Linked DNA regions of Coturnix japonica. The protein of the gene in region 2 purifies or fractionates together with the protein of the main gene of each other region. This does not show direct contact. Links are inferred from orthologs where the notes say so. Each region holds a gene or a part of one and is shown on either strand. Other genes may lie near its edges.

Region 1 (3,743 bases), on a different chromosome or scaffold from region 2:
GTATGAAGGCTTTGACAAAGTCAGCTGCTTTGGTCAGAGCACTGAGGTCTTTGGTCTCAGCACAGGTCTGCAGAACGAGAAGATACGTTTCTATGTTATCAGGCAAACGGAATCAGGACTTGGAAAGTCAGTGAGATAAAGGCTGGCTGTATAAAAGAAAGCCAAAGCCACGTTCGTGTAATGCCACCTCCGCATTGTGTTCTACTGAAAGCGCAGACCAGTAGTGTATGTTGTGCTTAAGACAACAGGCTGCCCAGAGAGCTGTGGGTGCCTTGGAGGTGCCCAAGGCCCGGTTGGGCGGGTTTCAATGAAACACGAGGGATGAGAGGAACGTGAGGACACACAGCACAGCGCTCACCTTGATCTCCACGTTCCTGGTCTTTAAGTTAAACCTGATCTGGAGCTGCAGGTGCTCCACGATGGGCGTGAATATCTTCATCCAGTTCTCCTTCAGCGGCGTGTACCTGTTGGCCGGTACCGGCACCTTCCTCACCTCCCCTTTCCCCACCTGCGGACAGATGGGCGCTGAGCGGACACGTGCAGCCCGTCCGCCCCATCCCTCCGCCTCGGCGCCGCGCTCACCCCCATGGCCGCGGCGGGCAGCGGTGGGAAGGCGGGTCTCTTGCTGGGCTGCGGCCCCGCCGCATCCACCGCCTCCATCGGCTCCGCAGCCGCCGCTCTCCGCTTCCTCCTGCCGCGCTTGGAAGCCACGCTGGTGAAGCCGCTCCCGTTCTCATCCGCTTCAGACTCCATAGCGTGGCCCTCCGCCGGAAAAGCCACCGCCACTTCCTGCCCGTCCCGCCGTCCCTTCCGCTTCCTGCGTTATCCGCGTCGCTGCCGTCGCTCGTTATGTCGGCGGCGGGGCTGGACCGGCCGCAGGTGGTGGTTCACGTGCAGCAGCCGCTGACTTACACCGTGTTCGACTGCAAGTGGGTGCCGCGCAGCGCCCGCCTGCTGTGCCTCGGCAGCGCCCCGCGAGGCACCGGCCTCATCCAGCTGTACGAGCTGCGAGCCGGGCGGCTGCTGCTGCTGAGCGAGGTGAGCGGGGCGATGCGGGGCGGCACCTCGTAGGCCGAGGGGTTTAACGCTTCATACGGTGCCGACCGTGTCCTTTATCTGCAGATCGAAAAGGCCAAACCGATAAAATGTGCCACCTTCGGGGCAGCCTCCCTGCAGCAACGGCACCTGGCGACAGGGGACTTCGCGGGATGCCTCAGCATCTGGTGGGTGTGTGATTCCTTACAGCGCTCCTGGCTACTGAAGGCAACGCTGTGTTATCTGTTTCTCACATAGGAACTTAGAAGCTCCTGAAGTCCCCGTGTACTCCGTGAAAGGTCACAAGGAAATCATTAACTGCATCGATGGGGTCGGAGGCCTCGGAATTGGGGAAGGTGCCCCAGAAATTGTGACAGGCAGCCGGGATGGTGAGTGGGAGAGAGCTGAGCTGCTCAGTGACATCCCTGAACTACAGGCTGTGGGCACCGAAATGGAGGGCGGCCCTTTGGGATGAGCCTCCTCTGCTTCCTTTGGGAGCTGGAGAGGAGGAACATAAAGCAGAACAAATACAAAATAGCAGCTAGACATCTTATACTTTCCCTGTGCTTTTCTGTTTGTATTATGTTTCATTTCTTCCTATACACTGACATAGTCTGGAGGCGTCAGGCTGCCTTTCCCTGGGAAACCAAGAGTGGTGCATCAGTGCATCTGTAACACTGATGGCTTTGCTTTCCTTAGGAACTGTGAAGGTGTGGGACCCTCGGCAGAAGGAAACTCCTGTTGCCAACATGGAACCTGCGCAGGGAGAGAGCAAGAGGGACTGCTGGACGGTGGCCTTTGGTAACCAGTCTGATAACAGCCCCCTGTAATGTCACTGCGTGTTGACAGTAATCAAACCACTGAAGGCAGGGTTTGTTGTTCGGTGTTATCACATCTGTGTCTTTGCACTGTGTTTTAAAGGCTGTCTTTCCATCACGTTTGGTGGTAGTTGGCTCAGGCATTGTTTTCTTACCATCTCTGCTCAATCACTTCACAGACAAGCTTTATTCTTAGGCATTTTTACAGCCCTAGTGTGGGAATTGAACATTTCTATGTCTAGGAATGTAAAAGCAAAGAAACCACTTTGCCCTGGAGGGGTCTAACTGTGATTGTGCATGGAGAACCAATATCTGCTGATGACATTAAGACATTAATGTAAGAGACAATCCCCAGAGCTAACGAAAGACAGCAGAGATGCTTAACTTGTGCTCTTGAATTCAGGATGCTTGAGCCCAGGCCATGTCCATCCCAAACTCTGTGCTCTCAATTCATTAAATCCTACTATATGATGCTTTGCTGGCATAAATCTAAGTTGAAATTGCTGACTTAAGAGGTCTCAAATTTACAGCCTAAGAGGGGTTTCTGTGTTGTGATCAATTCTGTCTCTGTGTCCAGGCAATGCTTACAATCAAGAGGAACGTGTAGTATGTGCTGGATACGACAATGGGGACATTAAGTTGTTTGACTTAAAAGCCATGTCACTGCGATGGGAGACCAACATTAAGAACGGGGTAAGGTGCTGTGGAAGCAGGGCTTCATTCCAGCTGTGGTGTGTGTCTGTTTACAGGCAATCGCGTTATTGCCGAGTTGGTGAAGCTGTTGTAAGAATAACCAATGATTAGATACGTGTCTGCAAATCACACTCACAAATATATGCTTGTAGCAGTGGCTGAACGTATTGGTTTCACTCTTTGCAGGTTTGCAGTGTGGAGTTTGACAGGAAAGATGTGAACATGAACAAGCTGGTGGCCACGTCACTGGAGGGAAAATTCCATGTCTTCGATATGAGGACTCAGCACCCAACTAAAGGTTTTGCTTCTGTTTCAGAGAAGGTAATGGGGAGATGGATCATTCCTTTAGCAACATGTAGTACAGGAGTTTGTACAGAACTTTTGTCCAATGCTGGTTGTTTCCTAGGCACACAAATCCACCATCTGGCAGGTTCGGCACCTCCCGCAGAACAGGGATGTGTTTATGACGAGCGGAGGAGCTGGGAGCCTTCATCTCTGGAAATAGTAAGTGATCACTGTCTGCTCTATAACAGGGGAATAAGGAACCAAAACAACTGTTTATTGTTTAAAGAAAGAATCATTGTAAAGATGGTGCGTGGGGACTCACTTCCAAGCTCAGATATGATGGATATGATGGCTCGCTATTTTGAAGACATTTGTCTTATCTTGAGAACAGAGGAGACCTTTCTGTGCTGTCTTTTAAGAGCAGGATGAGATTCCTGTTTGTCTCAGTTTTCCTTTCCTTTCTGCCAGCGAGTACCCGGCTCAGCGCTCAAAGAAGGACTCGGAAGGAGCTGAGATGGGGGTGGCAGGTTCTGTCAGCCTCTTGCAGAACGTGACTCTGTCAACACAGCCCATTTCCAGCCTGGACTGGAGCCCCGACAAAAAGGGGCTGTGTGTTTGTGGTGCCTTTGACCAAACTGTGAGGGTACTGATAGTTACTAAGCTTAACAAAGTGTGACAGGAAAACTGGGATTGCTGATGAGAAAGCAATACAGTTTGACGTCTGTACATACGGGAGGGAGGGACCTATTGTCTTTAATCTAATTTCTCCCTTTTTAGAACTGGATTAAGGAAATAGAGACCAGATCTTTCTATTGAAAGTTGAGATACATGCACTTAAGAGTTGTTTGATGGTGCTGCAATGACTTGAAAAAGTTTCCAAGGCATAAAAGTTTTACCTTCTGGAAATGGGAA
Region 2 (3,745 bases):
CCGGACACGCGCAGCACGGCGCACGCCAACACCCTCGGACACGCGTGGAGCGGGCGCCGCCTGCACCCACCGGCGGTCGCTGTCGCTTTCGGGCGGTCGTGGCGGCGGTGCCCGCGGAGCCGTGCCCGTTCTGCACCGGCGGCGGAGGCGCCTTCGGTGGCAGAAGGGCGTCCCCGGGGGAGGGCGCGGGGCGGGGCGGGGAAGGGGGGGAGAGAGGGAATGGGGGGTGTGCGGGGTGTGCGGGCACCAGGATTCAGGGGTGCGGGGTATCAGGTGTGGGGTGTGAGGGAACTATGGGGCGTGGAGACAAGGATGCGAGGGCATGAGAACATCTGGGGCGTATGGGGAAATGGAGATGGGGAACGAGGGAGCACGGGGAGAAGGATCTGTGGGGTTACGGGGATCCGGGGACACGGGGATTTGGGAATACGAGGCACGGGGACGTAGCGACGGGTAAATCGGAGGATACGGAGATAAGGGAAGATACGGGAAAAGGGGGATCTGAGAGTGGGGGACGTGGTGACAGAGCAACGTCGGGGTGGGGACGGGTAGATCGGAGGAGCCGGGGCACGGAGACACGGGATGTGAGCACACCGCGACGTGGGGCCGCACGGATCGGGGGACACGGGGAGGCGGGACACGAGCAGCGGGACACGCAGCCGGCAGCGGAGCGGGGACAGTTGCCGGGGTCGTTCGGGGACAGCGGCGCAGCTGACACCGCGGGGCTGAAATGTCACCGGTGTCACCGCGGGCAACGGGCCAGGCTGTGCCGGCACCGCGCGGCTCGTACTGCACGTGGGGGCGGCACGGCGGCACGAGGGGCACAAGTGAGGCGGGTGGAGCCGGTGGCAGCACCGTGTCTCTCGGCACACGTCCCCGCGGGGCTCCCCACGCGCCGCGAGGCTGACAACGGCAACAGCCGCCGGGCAACCGGCCGGCACGGGGAACGACACGGCGCCGCCTCGTGGGAGCGCGCAGCCCCCACGCGCCTCCGCGGCCTCCCATCCGCCATGGGGCGCTCTCGCCACCCGCCGCTCGCCCCGGCCGCTCTCTATGGCCGCGGGGCCGGGACCGGGGCGGGCCAGGGCGGGGGGGGGAAGCAGCGTCCGGCGGCCATGGCGGATACCGAGAAGCTCAACCTCGACTCCATCATCGGCCGCCTCCTGGAGGGTGAGCGATGGGCCTAGTGCTCCCGGACCGCCTCGGGAGCCGCTAGGGGAGGGAAGGACCGGCGCTGTGCCGCCAAGGAGGGGCTGGAGAACGGGGCTGCGGGCCGGGGCCTGCGGGGAAACGGGGGCCGTGCGAGGCTCTGGGGGTCCAACTGTGGGGCTGTGGGGCAGCGGGGGGTATCGGGGCAGCGGGGGGCCGGGGGGAGCCGGGCGGTGGGAGCCGCTGGGGGCTGTGGGAATGAGGGGGGCTGCGGGCGATCGGGGCGGATGGGGGGTGGCTGCAGAGGGCCGGGGGCACCGGGAGGGCCGTGCGTTAGTGCGGGACTGTTAGGGCACGGCGGCTCTGCGGGCTCCGGGGGTGGAGTGGGCTCTGCTGAAAGCCACCCCCGCACAGTGCAAGGCTCACGGCCTGGGAAGAACGTGCAGCTGACAGAGAACGAGATCCGGGGGCTGTGCCTGAAGTCACGGGAGATATTCCTGAGCCAGCCCATCCTGCTGGAGCTCGAGGCTCCGCTCAAGATCTGCGGTGAGCGACGAGCCGGGGGGAGGGGAAGGGGGCGGGCTGGGAGCCAGCGTCACCGCGTGTCCCCCGCGATCTTCTTACAGGCGACATCCATGGACAATACTATGACTTGCTTCGGCTCTTTGAATATGGAGGCTTTCCACCAGAGAGCAACTACCTATTCCTTGGTGACTATGTTGACAGAGGAAAGCAGTCTTTAGAAACAATTTGTCTTCTATTGGCCTACAAAATTAAATACCCGGAGAACTTTTTCCTGCTGCGTGGCAACCACGAATGTGCCAGCATCAACCGCATCTACGGCTTCTATGATGAGTGTGAGTGCTGCACCGGCCCCACTACTGACAAACGGGACTGCCTTGTCACCTCACTGCCAACCCCATATGATACAGCCAGCCCAAAGTCCCCCCTTCCATCCCCATTTGCAGCTCTTCCCATCTCCTGCAGACCTTATGTTCATCCCAGCTACTTTCTCCTGCAGACCTTATGCCCCCATCCCAGCCATCTCCTCCTGCAGACCTTATGCCCCATCCCAGCTACCTCCTCCTGCAGACCTCATACCCCCATCCCAGCCACCTCCACGGCCACCCCCCCAGCCCCCTGGAGGGTTCAGTGCTGCCCTGTGTGTGTTGTGATACACCAGAGGGTGGGGAGGGTGGAACATGGCCCACATGAAGGGCTCCTGTGAGCACCCACCCCGCTGCCTCACAGGCAAGCGGCGATACAACATCAAGCTGTGGAAAACCTTCACCGATTGTTTTAACTGTTTACCAATTGCAGCAATTGTGGATGAGAAGATATTCTGCTGTCACGGAGGTGGGCACAGGGCTGGGGGCTGCCGCCTGGGTCCAAAGGCCGCCACACAGCATAACCTGACACTCCTGTGCAGGGCTGTCTCCTGACTTGCAGTCGATGGAACAGATCCGGCGCATCATGCGACCCACGGACGTACCCGACCAGGGCCTGCTGTGTGATCTCCTGTGGTCTGACCCTGACAAAGATGTCTTAGGATGGGGTGAAAATGACAGAGGAGTGTCCTTCACCTTTGGGGCCGAGGTGGTGGCCAAGTTCCTGCACAAGCATGACCTCGATCTCATCTGCAGGGCACACCAGGTAATGGGGTCGGGCCTCACCTGGGCTCCATAACGGTGGAGCTTTTCCCAGGAGGGGCCATTTGCTCTTGAGGATGTGGTTGGGCTCTTTTGAAGGGGATGCTGCCCCCTGGGGGAGTTGGTGGGCTCTATGGACAGAGAACAGGGAGATATGAGTGCTGCTGCCCCACAGGTGGTGGAGGACGGCTACGAGTTCTTTGCCAAACGCCAGCTTGTCACCCTCTTCTCTGCACCCAACTACTGCGGGGAGTTTGACAACGCAGGAGCCATGATGAGTGTGGACGAGACCCTCATGTGCTCCTTCCAAGTGAGCTGGGGCTTTGCCGGGGAGGGGGCAGCACACAGGGCTCTGCCTGCAGCCCCTTCACTCACCCTTCACTTCCTTGCAGATTCTGAAACCAGCAGACAAGAACAAGGGCAAGTACGGGCAGTTCAGTGGGCTGAACCCTGCTGGCCGCCCCGTCACCCCACCACGCAACTCTGCCAAAGCCAAGAAGTGAGTGTCCACCGCCAGCAGCCCCAGCACCAGGTCGCTCCTTTCTCCATTCGTTTTTTTATTTGTCAGATCCTGCCCTTGCCGCTTTCTACTGTACCAAATGTACCCTCTGGGGCAGGACCCGCCCCTCAGTTGGCAGTGAAGGCAGGGCAGGAGGCTTTTTTTGGGGAATAAACTTGTAATGGGTCTTAAGATGTGGCTTTAGGATCACACCCTACGTGGCCAGGCAGTGCCAGCTGCTGCGCCATGGCATCGCAATGGGGGCTCTCAGCATTCGGCATCGCTGTCCTCTGCCAGCACCTCCTGGCTGGGGGCTGGGCCAGGCCCCCCCGGTGTCAGCACGGAGCCAAAAAACAACGAGCGGAACTTTGGGGGGGTGAAAAGACACAGGGTGAGGGGGCCGTGCCTGTCCTGTTCCCTCCCCCCATTCTGGTTCCTGTCCCACACC

What was found. Proteins that work in one complex are often made in the same cells at the same time.
Region 1: the proteins of PPP1CA (region 2) and WDR92 purify together in Homo sapiens (affinity purification with mass spectrometry; 6 studies listed by BioGRID and IntAct, counting the BioPlex papers as one, with this or other methods). This does not show direct contact. The link is inferred for Coturnix japonica from reciprocal best matches to the Homo sapiens genes PPP1CA and DNAAF10.

The regions. Positions count from the first base shown.
Region 1 is NC_029518.1:373,590-377,332, forward strand, and holds the start of WDR92 (WD repeat-containing protein 92), read left to right. Parts: upstream 1-819; 5' UTR 820-849; coding exon 850-1,038; intron 1,039-1,122; coding exon 1,123-1,223; intron 1,224-1,293; coding exon 1,294-1,424; intron 1,425-1,734; coding exon 1,735-1,836; intron 1,837-2,430; coding exon 2,431-2,546; intron 2,547-2,732; coding exon 2,733-2,867; intron 2,868-2,952; coding exon 2,953-3,050; intron 3,051-3,299; coding exon 3,300-3,507; 3' UTR 3,508-3,743. Other genes in the region: RNA-binding protein PNO1, read right to left, coding at 1-67, 359-508, 583-753. UniProt on the Homo sapiens protein: Key assembly factor specifically required for the stability of axonemal dynein heavy chains in cytoplasm.
Region 2 is NC_029520.1:169,959-173,703, reverse strand, and holds PPP1CA (serine/threonine-protein phosphatase PP1-alpha catalytic subunit), read left to right. Parts: upstream 1-860; 5' UTR 861-1,010; coding exon 1,011-1,170; intron 1,171-1,563; coding exon 1,564-1,695; intron 1,696-1,775; coding exon 1,776-2,006; intron 2,007-2,400; coding exon 2,401-2,505; intron 2,506-2,578; coding exon 2,579-2,802; intron 2,803-2,973; coding exon 2,974-3,108; intron 3,109-3,190; coding exon 3,191-3,301; 3' UTR 3,302-3,489; downstream 3,490-3,745. Other genes in the region: cell cycle checkpoint control protein RAD9A, read right to left, coding at 3,565-3,663, 3,745-3,745. UniProt on the Homo sapiens protein: Protein phosphatase that associates with over 200 regulatory proteins to form highly specific holoenzymes which dephosphorylate hundreds of biological targets.